Linked DNA regions of Arabidopsis thaliana. The protein of the gene in region 1 purifies or fractionates together with the protein of each later gene. This does not show direct contact. Each region holds a gene or a part of one and is shown in the gene's direction. Other genes may lie near its edges.

Evidence for each region.
Region 2: the proteins of IDH1 (region 1) and AT1G14810 purify together in Arabidopsis thaliana (affinity purification with mass spectrometry, with the first as the bait; one large-scale study listed by BioGRID). This does not show direct contact.
Region 3: the proteins of IDH1 (region 1) and PKT3 purify together in Arabidopsis thaliana (affinity purification with mass spectrometry, with the first as the bait; one large-scale study listed by BioGRID). This does not show direct contact.
Region 4: the proteins of IDH1 (region 1) and ASP2 purify together in Arabidopsis thaliana (affinity purification with mass spectrometry, with the first as the bait; one large-scale study listed by BioGRID). This does not show direct contact.

Annotation. Positions count from the first base shown.
Region 1 is NC_003075.7:16,771,448-16,778,001, reverse strand, and holds IDH1 (isocitrate dehydrogenase 1), read left to right. Parts: upstream 1-1,630; 5' UTR 1,631-1,768; coding exon 1,769-2,278; intron 2,279-2,398; coding exon 2,399-2,638; intron 2,639-3,054; coding exon 3,055-3,133; intron 3,134-3,233; coding exon 3,234-3,508; 3' UTR 3,509-3,860; downstream 3,861-6,554. Other genes in the region: AT4G35270 (Plant regulator RWP-RK family protein), read left to right, coding at 1-345; HCF244 (NAD(P)-binding Rossmann-fold superfamily protein), read left to right, coding at 4,733-5,119, 5,208-5,306, 5,479-5,673, 5,795-5,887, 5,982-6,077, 6,170-6,310, 6,425-6,554. UniProt on the Arabidopsis thaliana protein: Performs an essential role in the oxidative function of the citric acid cycle.
Region 2 is NC_003070.9:5,100,847-5,107,768, reverse strand, and holds AT1G14810 (semialdehyde dehydrogenase family protein), read left to right. Parts: upstream 1-2,918; 5' UTR 2,919-3,135; coding exon 3,136-3,696; intron 3,697-3,808; coding exon 3,809-3,895; intron 3,896-3,996; coding exon 3,997-4,041; intron 4,042-4,136; coding exon 4,137-4,232; intron 4,233-4,328; coding exon 4,329-4,430; intron 4,431-4,465; exon of another isoform or gene 4,466-4,587; coding exon of another isoform or gene 4,588-4,617; exon of another isoform or gene 4,618-4,767; coding exon 4,768-4,922; intron 4,923-5,003; coding exon 5,004-5,085; 3' UTR 5,086-5,210; coding exon of another isoform or gene 5,211-5,331; 3' UTR 5,332-5,345; downstream 5,346-6,922. Other genes in the region: DL1C (DYNAMIN-like 1C), read left to right, coding at 1-70; AT1G14820 (Sec14p-like phosphatidylinositol transfer family protein), read left to right, coding at 976-1,047, 1,348-1,606, 1,845-1,881, 1,969-2,086, 2,172-2,282, 2,371-2,532; AT1G14800 (Nucleic acid-binding, OB-fold-like protein), read right to left, coding at 5,211-5,331, 6,524-6,749, 6,915-6,922.
Region 3 is NC_003071.7:14,045,896-14,054,370, reverse strand, and holds PKT3 (peroxisomal 3-ketoacyl-CoA thiolase 3), read left to right. Parts: upstream 1-2,970; 5' UTR 2,971-3,387; coding exon 3,388-3,477; intron 3,478-3,889; coding exon 3,890-3,966; intron 3,967-4,074; coding exon 4,075-4,159; intron 4,160-4,241; coding exon 4,242-4,368; intron 4,369-4,457; coding exon 4,458-4,556; intron 4,557-4,629; coding exon 4,630-4,697; intron 4,698-4,777; coding exon 4,778-4,885; intron 4,886-4,974; coding exon 4,975-5,052; intron 5,053-5,169; coding exon 5,170-5,302; intron 5,303-5,396; coding exon 5,397-5,493; intron 5,494-5,660; coding exon 5,661-5,784; intron 5,785-5,876; coding exon 5,877-5,985; intron 5,986-6,272; coding exon 6,273-6,356; intron 6,357-6,447; coding exon 6,448-6,557; 3' UTR 6,558-6,893; downstream 6,894-8,475. Other genes in the region: AT2G33160 (glycoside hydrolase family 28 protein / polygalacturonase (pectinase) family protein), read right to left, coding at 243-967; RALFL18 (ralf-like 18), read left to right, coding at 7,539-7,850. UniProt on the Arabidopsis thaliana protein: Involved in long chain fatty-acid beta-oxidation prior to gluconeogenesis during germination and subsequent seedling growth. Confers sensitivity to 2,4-dichlorophenoxybutiric acid (2,4-DB).
Region 4 is NC_003076.8:6,595,584-6,604,018, forward strand, and holds ASP2 (aspartate aminotransferase 2), read left to right. Parts: upstream 1-2,387; 5' UTR 2,388-2,617; coding exon 2,618-2,671; intron 2,672-3,013; coding exon 3,014-3,085; intron 3,086-3,199; coding exon 3,200-3,261; intron 3,262-3,355; coding exon 3,356-3,439; intron 3,440-3,564; coding exon 3,565-3,664; intron 3,665-3,759; coding exon 3,760-3,880; intron 3,881-4,155; coding exon 4,156-4,319; intron 4,320-4,462; coding exon 4,463-4,600; intron 4,601-4,737; coding exon 4,738-4,859; intron 4,860-5,222; coding exon 5,223-5,317; intron 5,318-5,431; coding exon 5,432-5,552; intron 5,553-5,929; coding exon 5,930-6,014; 3' UTR 6,015-6,388; downstream 6,389-8,435. Other genes in the region: AT5G19540 (thermosome subunit gamma), read left to right, coding at 165-512, 602-639, 750-1,020, 1,187-1,473, 1,697-2,141; ROPGEF10 (ROP uanine nucleotide exchange factor 10), read left to right, coding at 7,651-7,837.

The DNA of each region.
Region 1 (6,554 bases):
CCGGAGAATAGTAGCAGGAAGTTGAAAGCTGGAGGGGCCTCAAAAGTGAAAGCCACATTTGGTGAAGCCAAAGTACGGTTTACTTTGCTTCCTACTTGGGGCTTCAGAGAGTTGCAGCATGAGATTGCTAGGCGTTTTAACATAGATAATATTGCACCCTTTGATCTTAAGTACCTGGATGATGACAAGGAATGGGTTCTTCTGACATGTGAAGCGGATCTCGAGGAATGTATCGACATTTATAGATCATCACAGAGCCGCACGATCAAGATAAGTGTTCATGAAGCTTCTCAAGTCAAGCTGGGAGGTTCTTTTGGTAGCATCGGTCTTGGTCCCTCGTTATAAGCTATCAGGTATAAGGTTGTTACCTGCAAGAAAAGAAAAGAAAAGAGCAGGAGATTCGACTAATTTACTAGTGTGTTAGAAAAATATTACTCACCATTTTATAGCAATGGGCATCGTTTGTAAACATATTTTCAGTGCCCCCATTTTGCAAGCAGCAGTAGTGGACTGGTTTCCTGCATCGGCTTAGCAGATTTTTTGTATAATAAGGCGATGCGTACCAGAGAAACATGCTTATATGTATGTATTATTATTGTCTGTACATCATTTGTCTTCTGGATTCTACTAAGCTCTGCAAGTATGTTAAATTGATATATCTTCTACATCGTCACTTGTATTTATTTTCTTACTTAACTATGCATGAAATTCTTAAGGGTGCTTTTTGGGGCATCAAAGCTTACTGTGTACAAACATTACAGTCAATAAGGAGTTAGTATTCAGAAAGAAACAAGAAAAAACATTATGCCAGTTTGAAAGTAAGAAAAGGCTAGACGTTTTACTTATATAGGCAATGATAGTCATATAAACACAGAAGCTATTTTTGGCAGAAAAAGTAGAGAAGAAAGTGTATACTTGGATGGTGAGGACACATGATATTTATAGAGATTCTCTTGGTTTTTAAGCAGGAATATGTGTTCAAGAGAGAGAACCACCTAGTGGAGTGATCTTCCAAGTTCCTAACCAGAGTATCTCTGTTAAATCCTCAAATCAGTATTTGTTAAAGAAACAAGTAAGCCTGCAGACAAAAGGTTCTCGTTTTGGTTTGTTTTTGTTTCTTTCTGATTCAGTGAGTGACACAAAGGAAGATATTGATCCTGAACCTATCATTGCCACCTAAACTTCAGAGACAGGAGAAAACAACATGGAAAACAAAAAACCTATGTCAAGAGAATCAGACCAAGTGTACCTGATTGTACCATTTGGTACTAAAAATCAGGATGACGAAGGAGTTGATTCACGTGACTATGCTTCGAATCTCTTAACATTGCCAATCTCCGTGTTTCTAAGACTTCTTTCACCAAAGCCTTGATGAAATTCGAGGGTGCAAGTTATGATTTTGCAAATAATGTAGTACTCTGCATGATCAATGATTTTGCGGCAATTTTGTAAATATCTGAAGTGAAAAATAAGCAAATGTCAAACTAAATTAATTACTGAGTAAATGTTGATGAAGTTAAATGATTGGGGGGATTTGTATAAATATCTTAATTGACGATTCTGAAACAAAGTGGTCTAATCGGTGATTATCTATTGTTTTATGGAAATATCTTAATGAGATGAAGATTTTGGGGCGAATTGTGTAAATAACTAAATTTTAACAATAAACGCTTTTCGTCCGCCTCCAGCTCCCAAAAGCCAAAGGGCGAATCTTCTTCTTCTCTTTCGATCAAATCTTTTCAGATTCAACCCAAAATTGAAGACAAAAATGTCTCGCAGATCGCTAACTCTCCTCAAGAATCTAGCTAGAAACGCGAATGGATCAGGTATTCAAACCCGATCCGTGACTTACATGCCCAGACCCGGTGACGGAGCACCACGCGCAGTGACGCTGATCCCCGGAGATGGAATCGGTCCTCTGGTGACGAACGCCGTGGAACAGGTGATGGAAGCGATGCACGCTCCGATCTTCTTCGAGAAGTACGATGTTCACGGAGAAATGAGCCGTGTGCCGCCGGAAGTGATGGAGTCGATAAGGAAGAATAAGGTTTGTTTGAAAGGTGGGCTTAAGACTCCTGTTGGTGGTGGTGTTAGTTCTCTTAACGTCCAGCTTAGGAAAGAGCTTGACCTCTTTGCTTCTCTGGTCAACTGTTTTAATTTGCCTGGTTTACCTACTCGCCATGAGAATGTTGACATCGTTGTCATCAGAGAGAACACTGAAGGTGAGTACGCGGGGCTTGAGCACGAGGTTGTTCCTGGTGTCGTTGAGAGTCTGAAGGTGAGAATTCCGATTTCTGCTCCTCGTTTTGGATTCAATCTGTATTTGTGGAATCATCTTCGTTTGCAAGTGGTCTTTGTATGTTATGTGTGATTGTTCTGATCCTATTTCTATGCTTAGGTGATCACGAAGTTCTGTTCGGAGCGTATTGCAAAGTATGCTTTTGAGTATGCCTACCTGAACAACAGGAAGAAAGTTACAGCGGTGCATAAGGCTAACATCATGAAACTTGCGGATGGTTTGTTCTTGGAATCTTGTCGCGAGGTTGCGAAAAAGTATCCCAGCATCACCTACAATGAAATCATTGTTGATAACTGCTGTATGCAACTTGTAGCCAAACCAGAGCAATTCGATGTCATGGTATGTTTCAGAGTTATATACATATGAATTTTCATGACGTTCTTTAAGTCTTCGATGTTTTACTTTGAGAAAAAGATACCAGTCATCTCTCCCTAGTTTGGTATCCCTCTAGATTGCCTGTTTTAGAGTCATATTATCTTATTGGTATGAGACTGATGTTGTGTTGCCATATACTATAGTTAATCGCCCCATTTGCATACTATTTAATCTCGTCATTTGCATATCATGCTTTCAGGGAATCTTTTAAATTGTACTTCTGTGACCTTGTCTATGTATACTTACTACTTTGCATACACTATTGTTCGTTAGAGCAGTAACTTCACTGTTGCTAAGTATTAACCTTTCATTACTGTATGTAGTAGCGTCTTTTGGCTTTTCCCCCCTTTTATAACAGCAATTTATGAAATGTTTTGCAGGTAACGCCGAATCTCTATGGGAATTTAGTTGCAAACACTGCTGCTGGTATTGCTGGAGGCACAGGAGTCATGCCTGGAGGTAAAAAAACATCCTGTATTGATATTCTCTCGAGCTATACATTAGTGGATAAAGAATAGTTCTAAAATTTATACATCTGCGACATTAAATACAAAAACAGGAAATGTTGGGGCTGACCATGCGGTATTCGAGCAAGGTGCATCAGCAGGAAATGTTGGGAAAGACAAGATAGTATTGGAAAACAAAGCAAACCCAGTGGCATTGCTTCTCTCATCAGCGATGATGCTTAGACACCTTCAGTTTCCTTCATTTGCTGACCGGCTCGAAACAGCAGTGAAGAAAGTCATCGCTGAAGGAAAGTGCCGGACGAAAGATCTTGGTGGAACAAGCACGACTCAAGAGGTCGTTGATGCGGTCATTGCAAAACTAGACTGACTTTGACAAATTACGTGTTCCCGCTCTGCATAAATCATCAAATTCCTGATACAGATTTTGTGTTGCCAAAATATGGGGTATGATCCAAGCACAACGGTTATCTGGTTTTGTACCTCGAGTTTTATTATATTCTTTAGCCGTGGAATATTTCGATAAGAAAAAAAAACATGTTCCAAATAATTCATGTTGCTACGTTTGTTGGCGCCTTTTGTCATGTCAAAGTTTCTTAAACACTTGTTCGTGGAATATGCAAACTTTTATGGATTCGTAATTTCAAGAATATGAATGAAAAATTGATGGTATCTTTGATCACCTCGAATGGTGGTTTCTTAAGAGCATCCACATTGGTTAATTTTTGATGGATGTTTTTAAATATAAAACTTTATTTTAAGAGGTTTTTGAGTAGTTAAGAAACTCTAACGTGTCATTGTGTGTGTGGTTGAACATTGTGACAACATCATTTATTTATTTTTCTTTTCGCGTTTTTCTCTCTTTTTTAGTCCATATGATTTTTAATATATATATCATATTTGTTTAAAATTTTAATATTTGTATTATTTATTAAGTTTTATAAAATAAAATATAAATAATTTTTATTTTAATAATAATATATTTTTTTAAAAGACCCACTTAAACATTAGACCAAAAAAAATTAATGGTCCAACAAAAACACTTTAATTTTTTATAATTTAAAATTTTAAAAAACCCTTTTAAGGGCTCAACCATTGGGGTTGCTCTTACTCCAAGTCTTTAATTTAATTTGTGAATTAACATTGACTAATTTTAAAATCACTTGAAATTGTTTCATCGGATTTGGGATGTCACATTTGGTACCCGGCAAGTTCGAAAATGACTTTTAAACTTTGACACCTCTTGCCTCTTGGTAGAGTTTTGGATGAGGCTTGAAACTTTTGTATTGCAGCCCATAACTGAAAATAGTTTATTAGTATAATATATCTTCTCAACAAACATTGCAAATATTTTGAAAATCCAGCTAAAACTATACCCGATCAGAATTAGAAAATTTGAGCCCAAGCCCGGCCCGTAAGTATTATTATAGAAACCGATATAAAGTTTCCTTTTTCTTAATAATATTTATTCCGTGGCAGCAAATGCAAGCCAATCCAATGTCAAAACACCAGCTGACGTGGCCAAACGCACATCAACTGTCGTCTCTCTATCTCTCTCTCCCTCACTTGTCTCTCTCTCTTCTCTTCGACACTGATGGCTTCGCTCAGGCTCCCCGCTCAACTAGTTACACGTGGCAATCTCATCCACCACAACTCTTCATCCTCCTCCTCCGGGCGTCTGTCTTGGCGACGTTCTCTCACACCGGAAAATACAATCCCGCTCTTCCCATCTTCCTCATCCTCATCCCTTAACCGGGAACGATCAATAGTAGTTCCGGTTACATGCAGTGCTGCAGCGGTTAATCTTGCTCCGGGGACACCAGTCCGACCCACGAGCATCTTGGTGGTTGGAGCCACTGGAACTTTGGGAAGACAAATCGTCCGGAGAGCTTTAGATGAAGGGTATGATGTTAGGTGTTTGGTCCGACCAAGACCAGCTCCCGCCGATTTCCTCCGTGATTGGGGCGCCACCGTAGTCAATGTACGTATTCACATCTTCCTTTAAAGTTACTCAAAGTATTTAAATTTGTCCAAAAGAGAACTAAAACCGGAGTTTTGTGTGGTCTTAGGCGGATCTTAGTAAACCGGAGACAATTCCGGCGACTTTGGTCGGGATTCACACTGTAATTGATTGTGCCACGGGACGTCCTGAAGAACCTATCAAGACGGTAAGCTTCTAAATTATATCTTTTTGTTAAAGACTCAATCTTTAGCCTAGTGAGACTTATTAAAGTTTGATTGGCTTGTGTGTCTAATACTCAGTTTCATGCCTTGGCTTGTACGTTTGAGTGTTGGATTCAGTTTTCCAATGTGATTGAAAGTTATGTGTGTTCGGTTTAGGTAGATTGGGAAGGAAAAGTTGCTCTGATACAATGTGCAAAGGCAATGGGGATTCAGAAATACGTCTTTTACTCAATCCACAATTGCGATAAGCATCCTGAGGTTCCTCTCATGGAGATTAAGTACTGCACTGAGAAGTTTCTTCAGGAATCTGGTTTAAACCACATCACCATTCGGTTATGTGGTTTCATGCAAGTAAGCCTCATTCCCCTGAACTTATGCGTCTAGTTGTCCCTGAAAGTGAGTACATGATGTTGAATGTGGTAATGGCTGATTGTTGTTTAATCCAGAGTATACTATGCCTATGGCTATGCAGGGTCTTATTGGTCAATATGCAGTTCCAATTCTGGAGGAGAAATCGGTTTGGGGAACAGATGCACCAACGCGTGTTGCTTACATGGACACACAGGTGAGTAATCAAATGAAGATGTACTCCATTTCTCTGTGTAATATGTGGATGAAACACATAAAATGATCTAAACATGTTCCTCATGCTATAACAGGATATTGCTAGGCTGACACTTATAGCTTTACGTAATGAGAAGATCAATGGAAAACTTCTGACTTTCGCTGGCCCTCGTGCATGGACAACACAAGAAGTAAGCAAGGCTATAGTTACCGCTCTTTTGAATGAAAGGAATAGAGAAATATTACTAAAGCATAACCTTTTACTACCCTTTTGTCAATTCAGGTGATAACACTATGTGAGAGACTTGCTGGGCAAGATGCAAATGTCACAACCGTTCCAGTTTCTGTATTGAGAGTCACGCGTCAGTTAACTCGGTTCTTTCAATGGACAAATGATGTCGCGGATAGACTGGCCTTCTCAGAGGTAAGATTTGGCCTTCATCACCAAACAATGATGCTTTTGTAGTTTGTTTCATAGTAGCTTTTCAGATCAGCTGAAATCATGCTTCTAACATATGTGTGACACTGGTACGTTTAGGTTCTCTCGAGTGACACGGTCTTCTCTGCTCCGATGACTGAGACTAATAGTCTACTAGGTGTGGATCAGAAGGATATGGTGACTCTAGAGAAGTACTTGCAGGATTACTTCAGCAACATATTGAAGAAAC
Region 2 (6,922 bases), on another chromosome or scaffold:
AACCTTAGCTAAACGGCTAGAGCTTTACAAACAAGCTAGAGACGACATCGATGCAGTGGCTTGGAAGTAAGGGGGTTTGCTAAGACATATTCTTTATATTGTTAATTTCTTTGTTCGTGTGGGCACACTGCATTATAATAGATATGTTTGGAGTTCTAACTTCCAGTCTACACAAACATACACGCGACTACTCATGTTTTCTTGGGTCGCTAATTTCTATCACAACTTTCCCACTTTTTTTTGGTGTGTATCTTCGATTCTTGAATACTGGTTTTTAGAACAGTTAAGACATATTTTGAAGTCGCACTCTTTACATTAGACAAAAAGGAAGCTAATCTTTGATTTTTATTCAATTGGTCTCCACTTGTGCCATTACTGTATTTGGATCCAGTTCAAGTTTAAAAACAAATAGATGACAAAGAAGCTAATCTTTCTTGAAAATTTAATGTACATCTCATGTAGATAGAACAACTTATTAACCTAAAGGACTTTTCTTCTGTCACAAACAATAAAAATCGTTAGAACTGAATTTCCAATGCTCAATTAAGAACAAGCAGCTAAATGTATAACCGTTAACAAAGCCTGTTTCACATGGTTGATCAGAAAAATGATTAAAAGAACTTTAAGTAAGCCTTAAGATTCGGGATTTAGGAGTTAAAAAGCAATGTAATCATCACAGCTGTTTTAAATCGTCAAAGTAGTAGAAACAAAAGTCAAAGAGAGAGCTTCAACTTCCAGCTGCCCATTAATTGCAGCGAGTTGGGGAAAGGCTTATTGAGTTATTTCTATCCACTTACCGTAGAGACAAGTACCCAATACTTTGTCTGTTTCTTCTTCCTGTGGCTTCTGGGTCTTTGTCAACATCAAAGCTCTTTACTTTTTCAACTTACTTTATCGTGCGTCTGTACGGACCACAAAAGGCTCTCTCTTTATTTCTCTGTGAGATTTTTTTAGGATCTGAGAGAGCCAAAGATCATGGAGGAAAGCCAAGAACTTGCCTTGACCCAGTTGAGAAAATCGGTCGAGAAACTCTCTTCTTCTACTGAGGTAATCTAATTCGACGCTTTAGTTTCATTACAGTTTACAAAGCTTGCATCTTTTGGCCGTTTCATGAGTTTCACTGACAATGTCTCGTTAGAAAATGAGAAATATCTGTCATTTGATTTTGATGGGTTTTATATGGGCTACACTGTTAAAACTCTGTCTCCATTCTCGTCATAGTGGTTTGTCTGATTAGGTTTGAGCCTCCCATCAGAAACCCTAACAGTAGAGACAGTTTAGTAAAAGTGAATCCATAATCAGAAAATCTCATCAATGGTTTTTGTTGTTGTTGTTTCCTCTGAAAAGGGATATGACAAACCAACATTGATGAGGTTCCTGGTGGCAAGATCAATGGACCCAGTCAAGGCAGCAAAGATGTTTGTAGATTGGCAAAAATGGAGAGCCTCCATGGTTCCTCCAACTGGATTCATCCCTGAGTCAGAAGTGCAGGATGAATTGGAATTCAGAAAGGTCTGTCTTCAGGGTCCGACCAAATCCGGACACCCATTGGTGCTTGTCATAACCTCTAAGCATTTTGCTTCTAAGGATCCAGCTAACTTCAAGAGTAATCACCTCTCACTTGCTTCTGACCTTTACTTTCGTTGGAAATAATCTGTCCCTTGACTTTCAGTGACTTTTGTATTCATAGAACTGATCAGCTTCTTTCCTGGTTCTCTAATTATTGAGTAGTTTCATTTGACTTCAAATGAATGAAGTTTTTTGAGTCCATCTATGTGTTTTCCTTGAGTTGATTCTTGCGATAATTATCTATGAACTAATCTTTTATCTGTTTGATGTTGCAGAGTTTGTTGTTTATGCGCTAGACAAAACAATCGCAAGGTGTTTACACATTATTGAAACCAAAACACTTCAATAATCTTCCGGTTAGTTGGTTGTGAGACAAGCTTTTTGGTTTTTATGTTTCAGTGGCAACAATGGCAAAGAAGTTGGAGGTGAGAAATTAGTAGCCGTTATTGATCTGGCAAACATTACATACAAGAACCTTGATGCTCGTGGATTGATCACTGGCTTTCAATTCTTACAAGTAAGCATCTCCCTTCTTCCTGAAACAATATAGTTATCACACAAAAAGAAGTCCTGTCTATTAAATTTGGAAAATGTTTCTCTAGTCTTACTACCCGGAACGCCTTGCAAAATGCTACATTTTGCATATGCCCGGATTCTTCGTGACCGTTTGGAAATTCGTCTGCCGTTTTCTAGAGAAAGCAACTCAGGAAAAGGTTTGATCTTTAATCTCCTCTTGATGTATCTATCTCTAATGGTTCTTGAGCAACGAATCACATAAATTATGATTTTGCTGTTGCATAGATTGTGATAGTTACGGATGGAGAAGAACAGAGAAAATTCGAGGAGGAGATCGGAGCAGATGCTTTACCGGAAGAGTACGGTGGCCGAGCTAAGCTCACAGCAATCCAAGATGTTCTTCTTCCTCAGGCTGCTCCAGTAACTCTAACAAACAATAATGTTTAGCTCTTTATTTTTGGAAGCATTAACCTGAATATTTGTAATGGTCAGAACATAACTAGTGGTACATCTCTAAATTTCCAAAAGAAGCAATGAAAACATGAGAAAGTAATGCGAATATATTCAATCTGGTGACTGAGTGCTCGCTCTTGCTTATCTTTTCTTATTCACATCATAAGTAAGCTGTAAAGCAGGATTGATCAACAGACCAGACTAACTTCTAGAAACTTAATGTCCTCTTGTTGTACGTGTAAGATTCCAAAGTTAGCTATAGATGTCTTTGAGCTAAAAACCAGAATCACGAGCTCTTAAATATGATCCCTAAGCCTTGTTATATGACAAAAGACTTTTCAACAACTTAATATTTCCAAAAGAAGAAATGATGAAACACATGAGAAAGTTGTGTGAATATACTCAATCTGGTGAATGAGCAGTTTCAAACATCATGCTGTTTCTGTATCTTAAATTAAACAATCTTGCTGTTTTGAATTTTGAAGATGTTGGTCAATTCACTAACACACTTTAAAGTCCCAAGCTTTTTTCTATCAGCCGCCTCCAAAATCTCTCTATCTCTCTGTCTCTCACTTCTTCTTCCTCACGGCGGCGACAATGGCGACGTTCACTCATCAAACCCCACAAACCCATTTCCTCTCTCGCCTTCCTCTCAGAGCTAAACCTAGACACTTCTCCGCAAGAGTCAAAATGTCTCTCCAAGAATCTGCGCCTTCACTCGCCGTCGTTGGCGTTACCGGAGCCGTCGGACAAGAATTCCTCTCCGTCTTATCCGATCGAGACTTCCCTTATAGCTCCATCAAGATGCTTGCATCGAAACGCTCCGCAGGGAAGCGTGTTGCCTTCGATGGCCATGAATACACGGTGGAGGAGCTCACGGCGGATAGCTTCAACGGTGTAGACATAGCTTTGTTCAGTGCTGGTGGATCCATAAGCAAAGAGTTTGGTCCTCTGGCGGCGGAGAAAGGAACCATTGTTGTTGATAATAGCTCGGCTTTTAGAATGGTTGATGGAGTTCCGCTTGTGATTCCTGAAGTGAATCCAGAAGCAATGAAAGGGATCAAAGTTGGAATGGGCAAAGGGGCTTTGATTGCAAACCCTAATTGCTCCACCATTATCTGTTTGATGGCTGTTACGCCTCTTCATCATCACGCAAAGGTTCGATTTTTATTCTGAAATCTGCTTAGTCCAAAATTTTGAAGGGTAGTTAGAGAATCAATGGAAGCTTTAGACTTTAGTGCTCTGAATAATGTTTGATTGGCTATAATAGGTGAAGAGAATGGTGGTTAGTACATATCAAGCAGCTAGTGGTGCTGGTGCTGCAGCTATGGAAGAGCTTGTTCAGCAGACTCGTGAGGTTTTGTTTCTATTTCAGCCTTCTTTGATTGAATTGTTTAATGATTGTGCTGAGTTGTGATTCTGCTTCTTCGTCTTCTTTGCATTGGTGTGTTTTCTTAGGTTTTAGAGGGTAAACCTCCGACTTGTAACATCTTCGGGCAGCAGGTGAGTGCTTAATTTGCTTATAGTTTGTATTTCGAATGTGCTGATTATGAAATCCCTTTTTGAGTAATGTGATGGTTTTGTATGTTGTTCTGCAGTATGCATTTAACTTGTTTTCACATAATGCTCCTATTCTTGACAACGGTTACAACGAAGAGGAAATGAAACTTGTGAAGGAGACAAGGAAGATCTGGGTGAGTGGTTACTTAAGTGCTATTTTGTGTTCATTTCACTTTGATCTTTTGTTCAAAAATTTTAGATATCTCACACCAATTTCTTGCCCTTCACAGAATGACACAGAAGTAAAAGTAACAGCAACGTGTATACGTGTTCCAGTTATGCGTGCTCATGCAGAGAGTGTGAATCTTCAGTTTGAGAATCCTCTTGATGAGGTAATAACACACGTCGAACCCGATTTCTACTGATTCTGTGTTGTTGTGTTACCTTATGATTTCACTCACTGATATGACAATTTGAATCATAATTTGAAGTTTTAAACCACATTCTATGGTTTTAATTTAACTCAAGCCATTGAAAAATGTGGAGCAGCATGTAATCAGCATAAGTAGGCTTGGATAGTTCTTGATGCACTTGCAGAGTTAAACCCTGAAGTTGTTCTTTGGACTTGCTCTGGTAGCATGTATTGTGATTCTTGTTGCGCAATTAAAAGAATCTTATGATCAAGTTCTTATTCAGGTTATAACGGTTTTTCTTACTGTATCATAACAGAACACAGCAAGGGAGATACTGAAGAAAGCACCTGGAGTTTATATAATAGATGACCGTGCTTCAAATACTTTCCCTACTCCACTCGATGTCTCTAACAAAGACGATGTAGCGGTTGGTAGGATAAGGCGAGACGTGTCTCAAGATGGCAATTTCGGGTAAAGTCTCACTCTTTTCTACTGAATTTGAAGCAAATGTCTTTGCGATATGCCTAAAAGGATATAACTTTGTGAATTCAGGCTGGACATATTCGTTTGTGGAGACCAAATACGCAAAGGAGCTGCTCTGAATGCTGTTCAGATCGCTGAGATGCTTCTCTGAATTTGAACCCGCTCTCACTTTGCTTCTTATGAAATTCTTGACAAAGAGATCACTGTATTATTAGATTTGAGCCAAGAATTTGTCTCATTTTTTGTTCTGTGAGTTTTCTATTTTGACCAATTTTGTTACTTTGATTCATAAAGTTGTCTCTTAAATCTGAACTCATCATGCACACGCTTGAACCTCTTGGCAATTTTCCGGTTCGAATCTGTACCGACTTGGTTGATCTCACCGAAGACAACCGGGCTCCACAATTATTTGACACACTGAAGACTGAACCAGTGGGGGCCCACTTTATTGATAGTTATAGCAAATATTTACTTGTTTAGTGGATATTATCAAATCCTAAAATCACTCCTTCGTTACTAAGACTAGGGAGGAGACCCGCGTTGTTTTTGGTTTTGTTTTTGGTTTTGTTAGTATGCACTAACCACTTCGATTTTTTTTACTGATCTTTGATTAAAAAGGGAATATCTTTGTTATTTGCTAATCTTATCTTTTGATTTCTACATTTTTGTAATCTATGTATAGTTTTACATTTTTTTTTCATGTTGTTACCGGTTATATGCTAGAATTTATAGGATAATAGACCAAACTTACTATCTTGTAAGAATATTTTTTAGAGTTATATATATCTAAGCAATGCATTTGTTACATTGGTCTTGTTTTTATATATTTTATTTTAAATTAAAAATACAATGGAAATCTCTCTCTCTCTCGCATTAAGCGGTTGCTGCAGAGGATAGCGAAGAACAGAGACTAACGACGAAGTTATTTTACACATCGTTGCCATTGTTAATTTTGGCCCAATATGAACCCGCCCATTTGTTTTTTCTCTTTGTGTCTCTGTTAAAATCTTAGAAACTACTCTTTGGTTTGGGGAAGATTTCACTTTTCAACGTCTCTTCGCGAATTAGCCAAAAAGAGTTGGATTATAACAATATTAACATTGAAAGTACGATATGCTTAGATAATTAATTAAAAGTTTGATTTTATTGTAAATATAAATTTCCTTATAACAGCAAGGAATGACACACATTAAAGCAAAAGAAATAAGAGTAATAACTTTTACTTTGTTTTGAGTCTTTGTGATAGTTCACTGCCACAAACATTATAGGGAATTTTTTAAAAACAGTTTCCAACTCTCTAGTTGTTTTGTTTAAGTTATACCATAAAAATAAACTTAAACATTTGTTTGTAGAAAAAACATTTCTCACATGTGTTGTCCAAATTTCTTGGATGGCACACGTCGGGGGGTTTCATGTTGCGAAGTGATATCATGTAGCATCTTTTTCTCGCCACTCTAATCCCATTTAGTGAAGTTTTGATTTGTTTCCAACACGTTTCAGCCATGGTGGTGTCTTTAGCCCATTCAAGTTGGCTCATATAGGTTTTTCCCTCTTCAGTCCTTCCTCTACATAATAATAGCATGACATACATGTAGATTGCTTCTTTCTGGCCTCCGTTAGCTGCTATGCCAATATGGTGGAGACCAACGTCACAATGATCAAGGTTAAAGTACCATATTATACCTTTTATGTAGTGAGCATCCGGGTTGTTGTTGGCAAGACATTTCTTCATAATAAGATGGTGTTTGCGGCATGATAACGGTTTCTTCACCAACGGAGCAAGATTAAGGGTTTTGAGCACGCGTTCATCGTTTGCTGATGCACCTAGTATAGGAGATGATGATTTTATAGTAATTTAAAGGAAGATCTATAGGAGGTTTTTGCTTTTCTCCAGTTACAATTTCGATTTGAGATATTAAAAGTATGAATTTAATTGCAAGTAGTAGAATTTTGTAGGAATTAAGCCATGTATTTAAGTACCTTTTAGT
Region 3 (8,475 bases), on another chromosome or scaffold:
ATATAAGTATTATTCTCAATTTTTACCAGTTATCTAAAATAAAGAAAAATATTACAGCTCATTCAAAGTTTGTTAAGAAAGAAAAAGTTAAGGAAACAAATCACCTACTAAAGAGGAAAAGAATAAACTAAATGTTCCTCTATTTGTTATTTTCAATTCAAAACCTTCATCATTATTTCTTTAGTTAATTTCAAAGTAACATTTTGCACAGCTAGTGAGATTGAGTCAAGAGTTATATTTACCTGACATCAGAGATATCCAAATTGCTGGTTCCGTCAAGGATTGCGATACAATCGTCACCGGTTCCGATAGTGACGTTGTAGATTTGCATATGGCTAGATTTCCCGATCTTGATTCCGTCGGTATTAGGGCTATCTCCGGGAGCAGTGATGGTAACTCCGGTAATGTTAAAATCCTCAACGGAGAATAAGTTGAAATGCCCCATTTTGCTATTGATGGACCTTAGACCGTTGATCTTCGATGATTTAACAAAAGCAAACCCAATGTTCATAGCTAGTGTACGACAATTAGTGTTTTTGTTACAATCATTGAGAGGCCAAGAATAAGATCCTTGACCGTCAAGTAATCCACCGCCAGTAACAGTGAGATTATCGACGTACTTGAAAAGTATCCATTCTTCTTGGTTGATGGCGTAAGGATTACGAGGAGCCAATAAAGTTCCTCTGATAAAAAAAGTTATAGAGCTTTTGCAAGGACCAGAGAATGTTACTTGACGGAGATAGAATATTCCGGAAGGAATATAGACCGTTGATCTTCCGTAACTCCATTGGCAAGCTTCGTTCCACGCCTTTGTAAACGCAAAAGCGTTATCTCTTTGGCTATCTGCGCGAGCACCATAGTTTCTGACGTCAAAGATTTTTGGTTGGCCGGGATATTCCTTCGTGGAAGCGGCGAGGAAGAAGAAGAGAGAAGGCACACACAAAATCAGAAGAACCCTAGACGCCATTCTCTCTTCTTTGGTTTGGTAACCCTTTTTTGGTTGAAGGAAAATAAAGCGTTTAGGCTTCTTATTTATAGAGTTACAAGATAAGAATATATGTATTTATTTAACAAATATGGGAAACGCAATCTTTACTATCACCCATATGGAAAATACTTAGGAATAATATTATGAAAGGATCCTTTTAAGATGGAATAAGATGATTTTATGTACATATATACTACTAATAAATTATGAAATAAATGTAGGATTCATTCTTTTTCTACTTCTTTTTGCATATCCGCTTGAATCTATATAAATCTGTATAAGTTGGAATGTTTTGACTGTATATTGTGTCACATTACATTATACATTACAGTTCCACGTGGTATTTTTTATGATTTATTAAATTTGTATGTGTTAAATAAATTTATACTTCATTCATATAGATAAGAAATGTATACTTTACAGTTTACATGTGTATTTGTTATTAAAAAAAGATAATATAAAAGAATAAGATATGGGAATGTTTACCCTAAAATCATATATAAGAGATTCAATTATCTTTTTATCTCATTTAATTTTGAGTCAGGAAAAAATATATATACAGAGAAGAAACAAAATTATTAAAAATGTAAAATTTATTGGTTAACATTTTGTCTTTACAAAAAACATAGATATGTTAATATAACGAATATAGTAAATGATAGAATAAAGATATTTAGTATGGTTAAGTAAGAAAATTAACATTTTCAATAATTTCGTCTCTTCTTTGCATAGGATTTGTTTGCCAACTCAAAGTATATTAGATAAAAAGATAAGATTGAAAACTAAAGTTGATAAGATATTATATTGTTTCACAAAAATTAGACATTGGATAGATGTTTAAGATTAAATAATCTTGTTAGAAATAAAACTGAAGTCTATGATGTTGCATGTAAGAGCTAATACAGTAAAATAAAATTATAAATTAATAACATGGGGAATAAAATATTTTATTGATTTATATAAGTGTTAATTTTTAGATGTAGTAAAAATATTGAAAATGACTTTTTCACAAAAATTAAAACAAATTCAAAGAAAAACAAATAACATTTTTATCCAATTACGTTATATATTATATTCGTCCAACTTTGAACCGGAAAAGTTTATTAATTTACAATGATTATTAAATTGACAAGTATTAATATATAGATGTTTCACTCTAATAGGTTAAATGGACAACTATATGCGAAAATATTAGGGCGATATTACAATAATCACAATGTAAAGATAGACAAGCACAATGTAAAGCTGATCACGTACAGTTTTGTTTCTTCCTCTTCAATGTTAATCTCTCCATTCAGTTAGAGTTAATTTCTAGTCTGATACATAACAAAACTACAAAGTTTCTCGAGTTTTTTTGTTATTTGATAACTCTCTACACGATCTAATTTCAATATTACATGTCGGAAAACTTCCGGAAAGTACCACACAAATGTTTGTAAGATTGAGTAAAATTGAGTAAAGAGAGCTTTAATCTCCCATATTTGCAAGTCGATATAAATTTGGTATCACGGCGTGTAAGAGATCTTGACATGCTAACCTTACGCAGATGTGCATTGTTGCAGTGCCATATTGTCATTATTGGTAATATATATGCCTAAGTAAAGTTCATATTGATAAAAATTTTATTCAAACACTATTGCATCTGCTTGTCAATCGCATAATAACATTATTAATTGAAAATGTAGTTTTCACTATTATACAATATCCGTTCTTATTTCGTTTAAACCGGCCGAGCCCATAGTATTGCAAACTATCACACCATATGGGCTTTAACTTTACGTTGGTAAAACGTAAAAAGAAAATAGCGATCAAGTCTCAAGAAGGGTACTTTTAGAATTAATAGCAACTTTAAGGCGTAAATAGAAGTAATACAAATAGTTGGGGTTATTATGTAAATATGAAGAAGATTAAGATCCAGAAGATGGAAATGAAAAACACGGCACGCATTTCAAAGCCCAAAACGGGCGGGGGCAAACGTCACGCCTAATCTTATCTTCTTCTATCACACTCTCAGCTTATCTATGACTATGACTCTCATCATCAATTATTTCACACTATTAACAATCACCAAACCAGTGTGAACATTTTAATTCATAATTAGAGTAAGGTCATTAGGCTAAAAACTGTTTGATTTGGATTTTACAACTATAGGATAAGAACTTGTATCGCTGTCACAGATGATATTTTTTGGTCGTTTAAGCAAAGAAATATTACGAAAAAGAGATATTTTTTATTCTTACTTATTTTGGGATTATCATTTACCCGGAACGGGCAAAGCGGTGAGTCATCTTACCTTATAAATGATCACAAACCCGAGGACTGTGAGTTTTCGTGTAGAACAAATCCTTCTCTGAGAAAAAACAACAGATCCGAATTTTATCTTTAATCAGCCGGAAAAAATGGAGAAAGCGATCGAGAGACAACGCGTTCTTCTTGAGCATCTCCGACCTTCTTCTTCTTCTTCGCACAATTACGAGGCTTCTCTATCTGTAAGCATTCTATCACCACACACTCTCTCTCTCTCGATCTATCGCGATCTTTTGGTTGTCTTCTCTTGTGTTTGCAGTCTGGGGATTATGGATCGTTGTTGATCTGGATTCATTATATGGAATTTTCGATTTTGATTTTGATGCTGAATTATAATTTGATTCGAGGCGTGCCTGTGAGCTGAAAATTTTAAGTTTCAGCTCGATTGAGATCAAATTCAAGACTTGGATTTTGTTTTTGTATTTCGTTCACTGGATTGAGATAGATATCTTTTTTTTTTTTGTTGTTGTTTGATTTTTGTTCGATTGGGTTGAATTATCCGTGCTCTGCATGTACTGATGATTTCTTAAAAGTCAAAGCTTGATTTCAATTACTACGTGTGATCTCTTTAACGTGTTCTTTCCAAATTCCCAGGCTTCTGCTTGCTTGGCTGGGGACAGTGCTGCATATCAGAGGACCTCTCTCTATGGAGATGATGTTGTCATTGTCGCGTAAGTCCCATCTCTTATGCTTTTACTCTTTTGGTATTTGGTTTTTCAGCAACGTATGAAGATTTCTCGTCTCTTTCTGATAGACTTACACTTATTGATCCATTGCAGGGCACATAGGACTCCACTATGCAAGTCCAAACGTGGCAATTTCAAGGATACATATCCCGATGATTTGCTCGCACCTGTTTTGAGGGTCTGTCGCTATCTTTTCTATTCTGTTGTTGGTTTTTATTTCCTTTCTACGTCTATTTATAGATAGTTCTTCCTTGACATAGGCATTGATAGAGAAGACGAATCTAAACCCAAGTGAAGTAGGTGACATTGTTGTGGGTACTGTTTTGGCACCTGGATCTCAGAGAGCCAGTGAATGCAGGATGGCTGCGTTCTATGCTGGTTTCCCTGGTATGTTTCTTCTATGTACAGTACAATACAATGGTGAAAAGTCTTTGTTTTTATTTCCTGTATGCTCATCCTGTTATGTTCATTTGCAGAAACCGTGGCTGTCAGAACTGTGAATAGACAGTGCTCATCTGGGCTTCAGGCTGTTGCTGATGTAGCCGCTGCCATTAAAGCGGGATTTTATGACATTGGTTAGTGAATAACCGTCTTTAACTACGCCACATTTTTTCATAGAGAACCGAGCTGACGATATGATGGATGCAGGTATCGGGGCTGGTTTGGAGTCCATGACTACCAATCCAATGGCATGGGAAGGGTCAGTCAACCCAGCGGTACTGATTCTCTCTTATCTGGAGTCTTACTTGGCTCTGTTATTTTAATACGTACTATAATACGGACTATGTTATTTCAGGTGAAGAAGTTTGCACAAGCGCAGAATTGTCTTCTTCCTATGGGTGTTACGTCAGAAAATGTAGCACAACGCTTTGGTGTCTCAAGGCAGGAGCAAGATCAAGCTGCTGTAAGGGAACTGAACTTTTTCAGTATGGTTGTATTTTAAATAACCTATAACTTTGATCGCTATGCTAAGCTATGGAGTCATATTGCTAGGTTGACTCGCACAGAAAGGCAGCTGCTGCTACTGCTGCTGGTAAATTCAAGGATGAGATCATTCCTGTTAAGACCAAGGTATTTTTCAGATCCTTCATACAATAACTGTAACATTTAAGACTTCTCTTGGTGGATTAGTTACTGAACTTCATTCATGTTCTAGTATTAGTCAATAACGTGTGTTTTAAATTTCAGCTTGTTGACCCGAAGACTGGTGATGAGAAACCCATTACAGTTTCTGTTGATGATGGTATCCGACCAACCACAACTCTTGCTTCTCTTGGGAAGCTGAAGCCAGTGTTTAAGAAGGATGGCACCACTACTGCTGGTACTTTTCCCGAATCAATTGTTTCATTATGGAAACCACAGTTCTTATTATCACAATTTTAAATCCATTGCTTCATTTGTTCTGTCGCAAACAGGAAATTCCAGCCAAGTAAGTGATGGTGCAGGAGCGGTTCTCCTAATGAAGAGAAGTGTTGCAATGCAAAAAGGACTTCCCGTTCTTGGTGTATTCAGGTGGGTAATAATTACTTACAAAGCTACGACTGTGGAAGTCTGAAAACCGAAAAAACTGCAGAGGCTTGTGATTTCCATTTACACAGATATGCTAGTATACGTGGAAAATACATTGTTCTTTCTGTATTTGGCTTTTTCTAAGTAGCACACTATTGGACATATTGCAGGACATTTGCTGCAGTTGGTGTTGACCCTGCAATCATGGGTATCGGTCCAGCAGTTGCCATTCCTGCTGCAGTTAAGGCGGCTGGTTTAGAACTTGATGACATCGACTTGTTTGAGATCAATGAGGTATATAGCAAACAATTTCATGATCTTCTTATCACATATCTCTTCCCGCACATTCTGATGATGACCATCTGTTTGAATCCTTGTGTGTTCAGGCATTTGCATCTCAGTTTGTTTATTGCCGTAACAAATTGGGACTTGACCCAGAGAAAATCAATGTCAACGGAGGTGCAATGGCCATAGGCCATCCTTTGGGCGCTACAGGTATATCTGTTAAGAACAGGACTAAAACTGTTAAGCTTGTTCCAATTTACCAAACCATAGAGACTTGAATTAATGAGAATCTCTCAACTCTCAACCAAACCTTAAGAAATCCACAGCCGAGATATATCTTTATAAACTCTGTCCTCACTAATGGTTCTTTAACCAACTTACAAGAGCTCTATCTTGCCGCAGTCCGTCCTTTTCAAAGCATATCAATGTCTACATTGTGTCTATATAATTATAAAACGCTCATGAACAGTTGCTAATACTTGTTAAAACTCTCACAGGAGCGCGTTGTGTTGCTACATTGTTGCACGAGATGAAACGCCGTGGTAAAGACTGCCGTTTTGGAGTAGTGTCAATGTGCATTGGTATGCTTCTCACTCGAATAATTCATTGTGAATTTGGTGTCTGAAATATGTGTCTGAGGGATGGTTTTACTGATTTGGTAAACTCTGGCAGGGACGGGGATGGGTGCAGCAGCTGTGTTTGAGAGAGGAGATGGAGTTGATGAGCTTCGCAACGCAAGGAAAGTTGAAGCGCAAGGTCTTTTGTCCAAGGACGCTCGCTAGAGAGGACCATGCACCAAAACCGTTTTTCACCTCACCTCTCTCTTTTCTGGTCTTCTTGTCACTTTCTTCAGATATTATTATAGTTTCGAATAAAGCACACAACCAATGTTTGCCTGAGTCTTGTGTTGTTCTTGACCAGGTCATGTGTTTAGTATTTTTTTTAAGTGAAGGGGGATAATCTTTAAATCTTTTATATGTAAGAATATTGTTCTTCTCGAATTTCATCAGTTGTTGCTTCTAGAAATTTTAGATTTTTTGGGTGGCAGCCATTTCTATATTTCGATGGATAAGTCAAACGTTCATAAAGTCAAGGGTTCTGCCTTTTGTTTGTGTTTCATGATTTTACCTTGAATTTCATTAACTAAAACAGTGTTAATAGTAACAGTTGGGGTGGTGGCGCAGTTGGCTAGCGCGTAGGTCTCATAGCTACTGAGTGATCCTGAGGTCGAGAGTTCGAGCCTCTCTCACCCCATAATTTTATTTTCTCATAGCTATTTATATAACGTTCCTTCTAGTATTTTTTTTTCTTTTCGTTATAGTATCTTGTCTTTGATACCGGAGACGTTATAACGGCAGTATAAGACGTTATAATCATGTTCCAATGCATCCCCTCAGTTTTGTGTTAAAAACGAGCCATCAATGTTATCATATATGGAAATCATTATTGAGGCTTTGACCAATTAATTATGCGAATTGACCGACTTTGATCACTATACAGAGCAAAACAAATCCACTGAATCATTTATTTGTGTAGGTTCATCTTTTTTGGGCACCGTATTCATTTCTTATTCCATGAATTTGACGGAGTAATTTTGATTTTCTTTTTCGAGTAAGAATCTGGTCAAATATTCGATGAACCTCTACAAAAAAAATTAACCTCTATAAAAGTGTAGATTAACCAAGTGTTTCATCACAAACCATTTCAACGTAAACGAAACAACAACTACTACTCTCAACTTTACACTCTCTTGATAAGTCTCGATGATGAATAACATGAAGCTCTTGATCATCGCTGTGATGATCATCTCGGCAGCTTTGCTTCCAGCGCTTGTGGTCGGATCTCGTCCGGTAAAATGTGACAATTGCATGGACGGTGGAGAAAAAGAAGAGATCATGAAGATGAGTTCAGGTGTAGATGTGAGCCATAGGATACTTCAAGCTAAGAGATTTATAGATTACGAAGCATTGAAGAAAAACTTACCAGCCAAACCAGATGGTAAACCGGATAAACCGGATAACAAATACCGACGTGGTTGCAGTGCCGCTACAGGATGTTACCGCTTTACAAATTAAACATAAACCACCTCTCTCTTCTTCTTCTTCTTCCTTTCGTTGGTGTGTTTTATTTTATTTTTAATTAGTATTTCCAATCACATTTCTTATTATTATATTTTATTGCAATTTGTAAGCCTTTGAGGCATTATCTCCTAGAGAGTTAGAATAAACTTCGTTTAGAAATTGTCATCCTTTTCTCACCAAATGATTGACGAGTGAAAATTGATCTCATCGTAAAGTATTTTTGCGGTCAAGTTCAAACAAATTGATCCCTTCTCTCGCACCATATTCTTGTTTTATTTTATTTAAACGATCGATATATTTCCAAACCATTCCTCCAAAACTATCACACATTCACACCTACCAATTTCAACTTTAAATACAAAATATAGTCTTGTTGTAAATATAAGATACACTTTAGAAGTGTACACGTGAAATTCAGGTATATATATTACAATAGTAAGCAACCTCTAAGTACAATTAAATCAAGAAAAAAATAGATTTGAATTAATAGGAGCGGACATGGGATGCATGTAGAATTGTAGATTATCATTTATTATGGTGACTAGACCATTGAACTTTCCTATAACTTTGAAAATATTCTTATTTAGTCATTTAATTTAGATTACACCAAAACCCCAAA
Region 4 (8,435 bases), on another chromosome or scaffold:
GTTCGGTTTACTAAGTAATTCACCGAATTTTTTTTTGTGGCCGAAGTAGAAACGTGTAAACTTCCTCTGGTTGAAAAATGGCGAAATATCTTCTCCACATCACACACTAGTTCTTCTTCTGCTCAATCTCAACTATCCCGTAAAACAAAAACGAGGGAGGAACCATGGCGGTGAGCTCATTCGCCGTCCTTCCTCCATTTGGTTCCTCATACAGCTCCACAACCGATAGATCTTCTTCTTCTTCGTTTTACTCATCTTCGAAACTTCTCCGCATATCTCAATACCGGTTCCAGTCAAATTCCCGTTGTCCAAATGTGTTCGTCTCGTGCTCACTGAATCAGCCTTCTGATGATGCTTCCGACGCCGCCCTTTTTCTCGAATCCAATTCAATTGCTGATTACATGCGGTTCAAACGCCGTCCCGACCCCGGAAATGGTACCAGCGAGTTGCAGACTGCAATCGTGAGTTACAAGAAACGTTTCCCTTGGATTCTTCTCAACCCTTTTCTTCAGGTTACATCACCATCTCTGTTACTTGCTGGGTTTCCATTTAAATCGATAAAGGTAACATTTTTATCGATTTCATCATCTCTATATTGCAGGTGGATTTGGTCTCAACTATTCATATTGCAGATAAAGAGTGAGTCTTTCTTCTATTGCTCGTAATTTGTTTATATCACTAGTGAGTTTGATTAAGTTTTAATTAGTTTCTTGTGTGGTGATATATGTGGATTGGGTTTGGGTGTGTAGGTACTTCACAACTCTTCAGAAGGAGCTTGAACCATATGATTCTATCTTGTATGAGATGGTGGCTAGTAAAGAGACCTTGGAAAACAGGAGAAACCCTATTGCATCTAAGAGGCTCAAGAGTTCTCGTTCAAGAGGTTTCAGTATTCTTGGGTTCATTCAGCGGCAGATGGCAAGAGTACTAACACTTGATTTTCAGCTAGATTGTCTAGATTACGATACTGAGAATTGGTACCATGCTGATCTCGATTTCGAGACATTCCAGTTGCTTCAGGTTTGTTTCCAAAGAACAGAAGTGCCTGTCTTTAGTTGTTGCTTGTTCTCTGTCATTTTTGAGTAATATTCTTTGGTTTCCGCATTGGCCTGTATCATGGTTGTATTATTTGGGAGTGAGAACTATCAGTTGAATGATGATTAAACCTGTATCATATTTGTTGCAGAAGGAGAAAGGAGAAAGCTTCTTCTCATTTGCCAGGGACATGACTATTAGATCAACAAAAGCAATGATACAGCCAGCTTTGGTAACTGAAGGTCGTGATACTTGGAGGTCAAAGCTTCTATGGGTTTCACGGGTTTTTCCTATGCCTCTTGTGGGTCTTTTCCTAATCGGGGCTTTTTGTGCTGACTTTGGAGATCAGACCTCAGACTATCCAGAATTAGAAGCACTTTCACGGCTTGACTTTGGAGCTGCTATGAAGGTTTTCCTTGCTAAGAGATTGACATCCGAGTAAGTCCGGTCTTGTTCATGATTCTGAAGTTGTTTTTCTTTTGCTGATCTAAACTTGGGATATGTGCTCTACTTGACACATTTCTTACCATTTGAATTGTGTATGTGCTTCAAAGATAGGGCAAGGCAGAGTAGTTTTTTTCTTATTTTCTTAGAACATGCAAATATATGTAAGGCTAGTAGGAAGTTAACTATTCTATTATTTTTTGTTGTTGTTGTGAAGGCTAACACTAGAGACATCAGATATAGAGGAAAAATCTGTCATCATTGGTGAGAGAAACCGAGCAGCTACGGAAGCTTTAAGAAGAGCAATAGAGCAAGGACACAAGAGAATTGGAATTCTATATGGCGGAGGCCACATGCCCGACCTGGGAAGACGACTGAGAGAAGAGTTTGATCTTGTTCCTTCAGAGGTAAGATGGGTAACAGCTTGGTCCATCAGAAATCCAACGGACTTGGAGACTAGTTCATATCCGATTCTGAGGAAAATGGCAGAGGCTTTGCGTTGGCCACTAAACCGGTACCAAACATTGGCATTGCTAATATTTTCATCTGTACTTGCACTGGATCTCTGCTTTTGGGAGCTCTTCTTTGGTTCGACAATTGACTGGGCTACCCAGATAGGTGCAGAGTTATACCAGTTTATAGATAATACAAAAATTGTATGACGCAGCACAGAATCATGTACAAACAGTGTCAAATACCTTTTACAGTGTCCCAAGTCTCTCTGTTGTAAAGCAAACATGGCTCTGATGTCAAAGAAATCTATTGAATAGGTAACTCTAGTTGTTTTTGGTTTGATGATAATGTTTTTATGAAGAAAAAAAAATTACTTAATAAATGGAAATTAGAATTCAGACAAAGAAAAACGACAAAAAAAAAAAAAGAAGTCAGACAAAGAAAAAAGGAATTGGAATATTTCTCGTATAAAAAAAAAATGTAAATAAAATTTCTCGACTTGTTGGGCAAGTTCAAGCATCGCCCACAGTTGCCAAATCGCAATATAGGCGCCCACAGCTAAAAGTTGATTCTCAAAACCTCTCTCTCTTTGTGAACAAGATTAAAAAGACGACTTCTCTTTTAACTTATTCCTCCTCTGCTTCTTCAAGATCCATTGTCTGCAATTTCAATCCCTTGTCTCGTCATGGATTCCGTCTTCTCTAACGTTGCTCGTGCTCCCGAAGATCCTATTCTCGGTGTATGTCGCTTCTCTGTTTGATCTCCTCTTACTTTTTTCGCGTTTTAGTTGATTTTTTATTCCGTCTTTGCTTCGATCTCACTCGGTTATCCGAAATCATGACGGTTATATCTGATTTTAGTGCGTCTCTACTTTTTTTCCGTCTGATCGGAGAGAGTTGGGATTTGATTTCTCTGTGTTTTACTCGATTTGGATATGATTCTTATTTGGCTACTGGGAATTAGAAGACATATGACTCTCGATGATCTACTGGCACAGTGAATATTATTAGTCTGTGTGATCAATGATTTGATTATTAGTTTTTAGTAACGTTTTTGAGAGTTAATGATTTGTTGAAAACAGGTAACTGTTGCTTACAACAATGATCCTAGTCCTGTTAAGATCAATTTGGGTGTCGGTGCCTACCGAACTGAGGTAATTTTTCGATTTCTGCTTAAACTGTTAAGCAACTTTATGGTATCAATTGTTTCTACTAGCCAGTTTTTGAAAGCTCAGGTTTTGATTAGTTTGTTTCTCTTTTTTTCAAAGGAAGGGAAGCCTCTTGTTCTTGATGTGGTGCGTAAGGCAGAGCAACAGCTAGTGAACGATCCGTGAGTTGAAGAACATTGTCACTAATTCGTGTAGTTGTCTCTTCTTATTCTTGTTTTTTGCTAATGCCTAAATTCTTTTCTCTACTTCTCTAAGGTCTCGGGTCAAGGAATACATTCCCATTGTTGGTATTTCCGATTTTAACAAGTTAAGCGCCAAGCTCATCTTAGGTGCTGACAGGTAATCATCTATACTGTTTATTTGTTATCTTTTCATTTGTGTTTTGCTTTGTTTCTCTTGTGACATAATATCCCCTTTAGTTGATAAAGTTTAATATTTTATAAATATTCTTGTTTTGTTGGCAGTCCTGCGATTACAGAAAGTAGAGTTACTACAGTCCAGTGCTTGTCTGGTACTGGTTCGTTGAGAGTTGGGGCTGAGTTTCTCAAAACACACTACCACCAAGTAAACTTCTCTCTATTTAGTTTTTTATTATATTTGACAGTCATTGAATTATGTAATCAAACAAGTGTTGCTTACTATGGTTCTCATCCTTCCAGAGTGTCATTTACATTCCAAAACCAACTTGGGGGAACCATCCCAAAGTTTTCAACTTGGCAGGCTTGTCTGTGGAGTATTTCCGCTACTATGATCCTGCAACCCGTGGTCTTGACTTCAAAGGTTGATTCTTAACTTTCCATTAATTTTTGTTTTCATCTTCATGTGGTTGCACTGACATTAATTTAGTCATGGTTATTGCTTGATTATCCATCTACTCTACTTTTCCTGTGTTTTCCTTGATATAACCACAATGAAATTATTTCTGTAAGTTTAATGATCGTATTTTGACAATTCTATGTTTGAAATTTGAGTAAGGAAAGAAATCTCAAGATTGCACTCTGTCAAAGTAAAATGGCATTTGATACAAACATTGACCTTTGATGCCAAAAAAACAGGCTTGCTCGAGGATCTTGGCGCTGCACCATCTGGAGCTATTGTCTTACTTCATGCATGTGCACACAATCCCACTGGAGTTGACCCAACCTCTGAACAGTGGGAACAGATTCGACAGCTGATGAGATCTAAAAGCTTATTACCCTTTTTTGATAGTGCATATCAGGTAGCACTCATAAAGGAAGTCTTGCTTTGTTGCTTTATTCAATGGTGGTTTACAAACAAATGAACCCCGTTATAGTGTATGCTTGAATCTTATCTAATGTAGAAAAATAGCAGCCTGACTCATTTTTCCTAACACTTTTGCAGGGTTTTGCTAGTGGTAGCCTTGACACAGATGCACAATCTGTCCGTACATTTGTTGCTGATGGCGGTGAATGCTTGATAGCTCAAAGTTACGCCAAAAATATGGGACTTTATGGGGAGCGTGTTGGTGCCCTTAGCATTGTAAGGAACCAAACTTCTCAATTTCTTATTCGCTTCTATTCATTTGACATTATGGTTAGTCAAAAAGTTCATCTAATGGATAGTACAAGAATACAGTATTCAAAAATTGCATCTAATCTGTGTGATATAATGTGAAGGTCTGCAAGTCAGCAGATGTGGCTAGTAAGGTTGAGAGCCAGGTGAAGCTTGTTGTGCGGCCCATGTATTCGAGCCCCCCTATTCATGGAGCATCAATTGTTGCCACCATTCTAAAAAGCAGGTACATGATTATCATGCTTTAGTTTACAATTACTTTGAATATATTATGTTGGAGAAGGAACCTTTAAACCGGAGTTAGTATAGTAAAATTACATTTTTAGATTATTACATACAAGATATATGTATACATTGAAAGCTGACATTAAAAATTAATAGGCAAGTGGAAAGAGAGATCCCTACTGATCTTCCATACGCAGTAATTTGATAGTTTATGCTGTGTTGAAATGGTTATGCCAAGTTTCTTTTTCTATGGAATCATGCATATATCACAAACATTTTCCTTTGCTTTATCAAGCTTATAATGAATATCTATGGAATTAGGTTCTGCTCTAAGTTTCTAAAATTTCTTTGTATATATTGGCAGTGATATGTACAACAACTGGACCATCGAGCTGAAAGAAATGGCTGACCGTATAAAGAGCATGCGCCAACAGTTATTTGAAGCTATACAAGCTAGAGGTTTATTATTAATTCCTTTCCTCTCTTATTTTTCACTCTGTTTATCTTCTTTTCCATGTTTGCAGAATCATTACTCTGCAGTTTTTTGTTCTTGACACGTTGTCTGGATTGCAGGTACACCTGGTGACTGGAGTCATATTATCAAACAGATTGGGATGTTTACATTTACTGGATTGAACAAGGAGCAAGTTGAATTCATGACCAAAGAGTTCCACATTTACATGACCTCTGATGGGTGAGTCAACTTATATTTTCTTTTCGATAATTTTAGGAATATGAGTGAGTTTGGTTTCTGCTATGCCTAAAACCATAAGTATATATGACATGAAGTATTTCTAAGAGGTCCTAAAATACTTTCGCCAAACTCTCTTAGTTGTAAGAGTATTAGCAGTAATAACCAGATATATATAGAACTAGATCCACAGGTTTCATTATGTTCTTCTTAGGCATGTGAACCAAGATAGTTGCTTTGATATTTTGAGAAAGTGAGATATGACATCATATTCTTGCTAGTGAAATTATAGTTGCATGAAGCAAAGGATATTAGAAAATACCAGATTTGTAAGTTTTCTGAGCTTCAAATTGAAAAAGGGTTACTTTGTTGTATTGCAGGAGAATAAGCATGGCAGGTCTAAGTTCGAAGACAGTGCCTCACCTTGCCGATGCTATGCATGCTGCAGTGACCCGCCTCGGCTAAACTAGCGACCATACATTTTTTTGCTGTTTCTACAAATAAAATGGGACAAAAAAAAAGAACACCGTTTTTGTTGGCTTATATACTATGGTTTTTTTCTGATGGTACCATATGTTTCCTCATGTCTTTTGACTAAAGATGGTTGAACCAAAACCAAAGTGAGGATTGTGACATTGAGATCTACCGTTTCTAAGAAAATATTGGTTACTTTAATTTGCCACCAACAATTGTTATTTTGCAGAATTTTCAAATGTCCTGTTATTTTATTTGCTGAGAGATCCTTATAGTTTGGTTCTCGCTGGAAAAAAATAAGTTTTGGGAAGTTTGGCACACCTAAGAAGAAGTATGATTTGTATTAGAAAAAAAAATACTTGTCGGAATACTCTCTAATTGGTCCATCTCTTAAAATATCACATAAACATAATTTTCAAATGAAGCAATCGATCGTTTGGAATTGTAAGGGACATATAGTGAACATGAAAGATAAGAAAATGTAAAACGGAATGAGGTTATATGGTTTTTTGTATTTAATTAGTTTTCTTTTGTTTCTTTAATGAAAACTTGTTTCAATGTGTCCATTTATAGGTAGACTCATTTGTTTAAGCCGCTTGATAAAAAAAAATGTCAATGCAATATTTATACATCAGTGAGTGGATGAGAAAATGGTCATAAACACCACTTTTCAAAGTGATAAATTACACGACGTGATTAAACGATTAAAGCAGTATTATAAGATATTGAAATCAAATCTTTTAAATTAGTAGGATAAACAGAAATGTTTAGACTTGGTAAAGAGTCGCCGTGTTACATGCCTCCATGCTACTGTTGCACTAACGAATTAGTCAAAATCTGATTTTAAAATTCGATTGTCTCTCTTTTTAAGTTATTAAGTTTGTAAATTCCAGCTATATTTGATCCATAGTCTTACTTAATTCGAGATCAGGCTTAAACAATAACGATCCACAAAACATAAATTATCCCTCTCCAAGTTTATAGCACATAGGATTCTAACTCGGTCCGGCGGGTAACTCTAAAACATCATTTTTCTAATCGGTTGAGCCAGTCACATTTTTGTAGACATATTTTATTTAGAAAATGTTCTTACAAGCTCATTTAACGAAATGTGGATTAGTTCAAATAACGAACAATTTTCTTACACGAAATTGTTCCAGTGAATCAAAACCTGAGCAGCGTGAGGTAAAATTCTAAACAAATGAAAGATAAAATAAATTAAGGAAAAGTCGGAGTATCTTTAACCGCCCTTCCACTATTTATCTTTTGTTTGTTTTTTGAAAACATGGACCGCACGTTGTCTCTCCAGCCCTAGAAAACTACTTCAACATTTCTCTGTTTCATTCATTTTGCACCAACTAAAAAACAAAAACATAAAACAACTGGAAAGAAAAAAGTACAGAACATAAAGTAGTTTTGTTTCATTCGGTGGTGAAAGAACAGAGACAAGGGAGAGCTAAAGGACTAGTTGCTTGATCTGTACGTCTCTTTTGCTTTCTTCTCTTCCATTTTGTGGATTTCATTTGCTTTGTTTTCTTTTATATAATACGATCTGAGACAAGAAAAAAGAAGAGAGAAATATAAAAAAGTGTGTGGAGAGATATAAATTGAGAGGAGTAAATTGGGAATGGTGCGGACATTAGGACGTAAACTAAGCTGGCCAAGATCTTTTAGTTTTAGAAAGATGTTCGATGGTCGGAACTCTGGACATTCATCTTTCTCTTCTCGTGGGGATGGCATGCATACACCCGAGCACGAACTCGCCGGACATGCTGCACCATCCACTCGTAGAGGCAAGCAAAATAGGAGATCAGGTAACATATTAGTGCAAGTTTATTTGGTAAATGGTAATGGCAAAATTTTAATTTAATGGAAATGAAAATTTTATTTCGAGATAATATAATGGTAGAAAGAAAACTTTAGGTGAAAGAATTTCTAAAAAATATCCATTTCATATTTTCGTAAATATATCCATTGCACCAATAATTAATTAATGCTCCAATTAATGATAATGTAGAATCTCTAAATCATTTATTACCCGCTTATATATATTGACCGAAATAAGAAGTCCTCATTTTATAAATTATATATAGACAGGAAAATGATATTATTGCACGGAAAAAAATTATGTGATCCGCAATAATTAATTATTGCTAAATTTGATAACCACATAAACGAATAAAATGTTATCCCAAAACCACAATGAATTAGATGTATTAATATCTTCATTAGATGTATTGTATATAGCATAATGAATTGCATTTAGATTGCATTTGTGTAAGATGCATGGGTTGGATCTGAAAATCAATTGGTAAGAGTAGAATTACCAATATCGTTGTATAAAGATGAGTTCTTTAACTAATATTTATATATTTTTGATAACTATTTAATTAATATTATTCTATGTTGGAT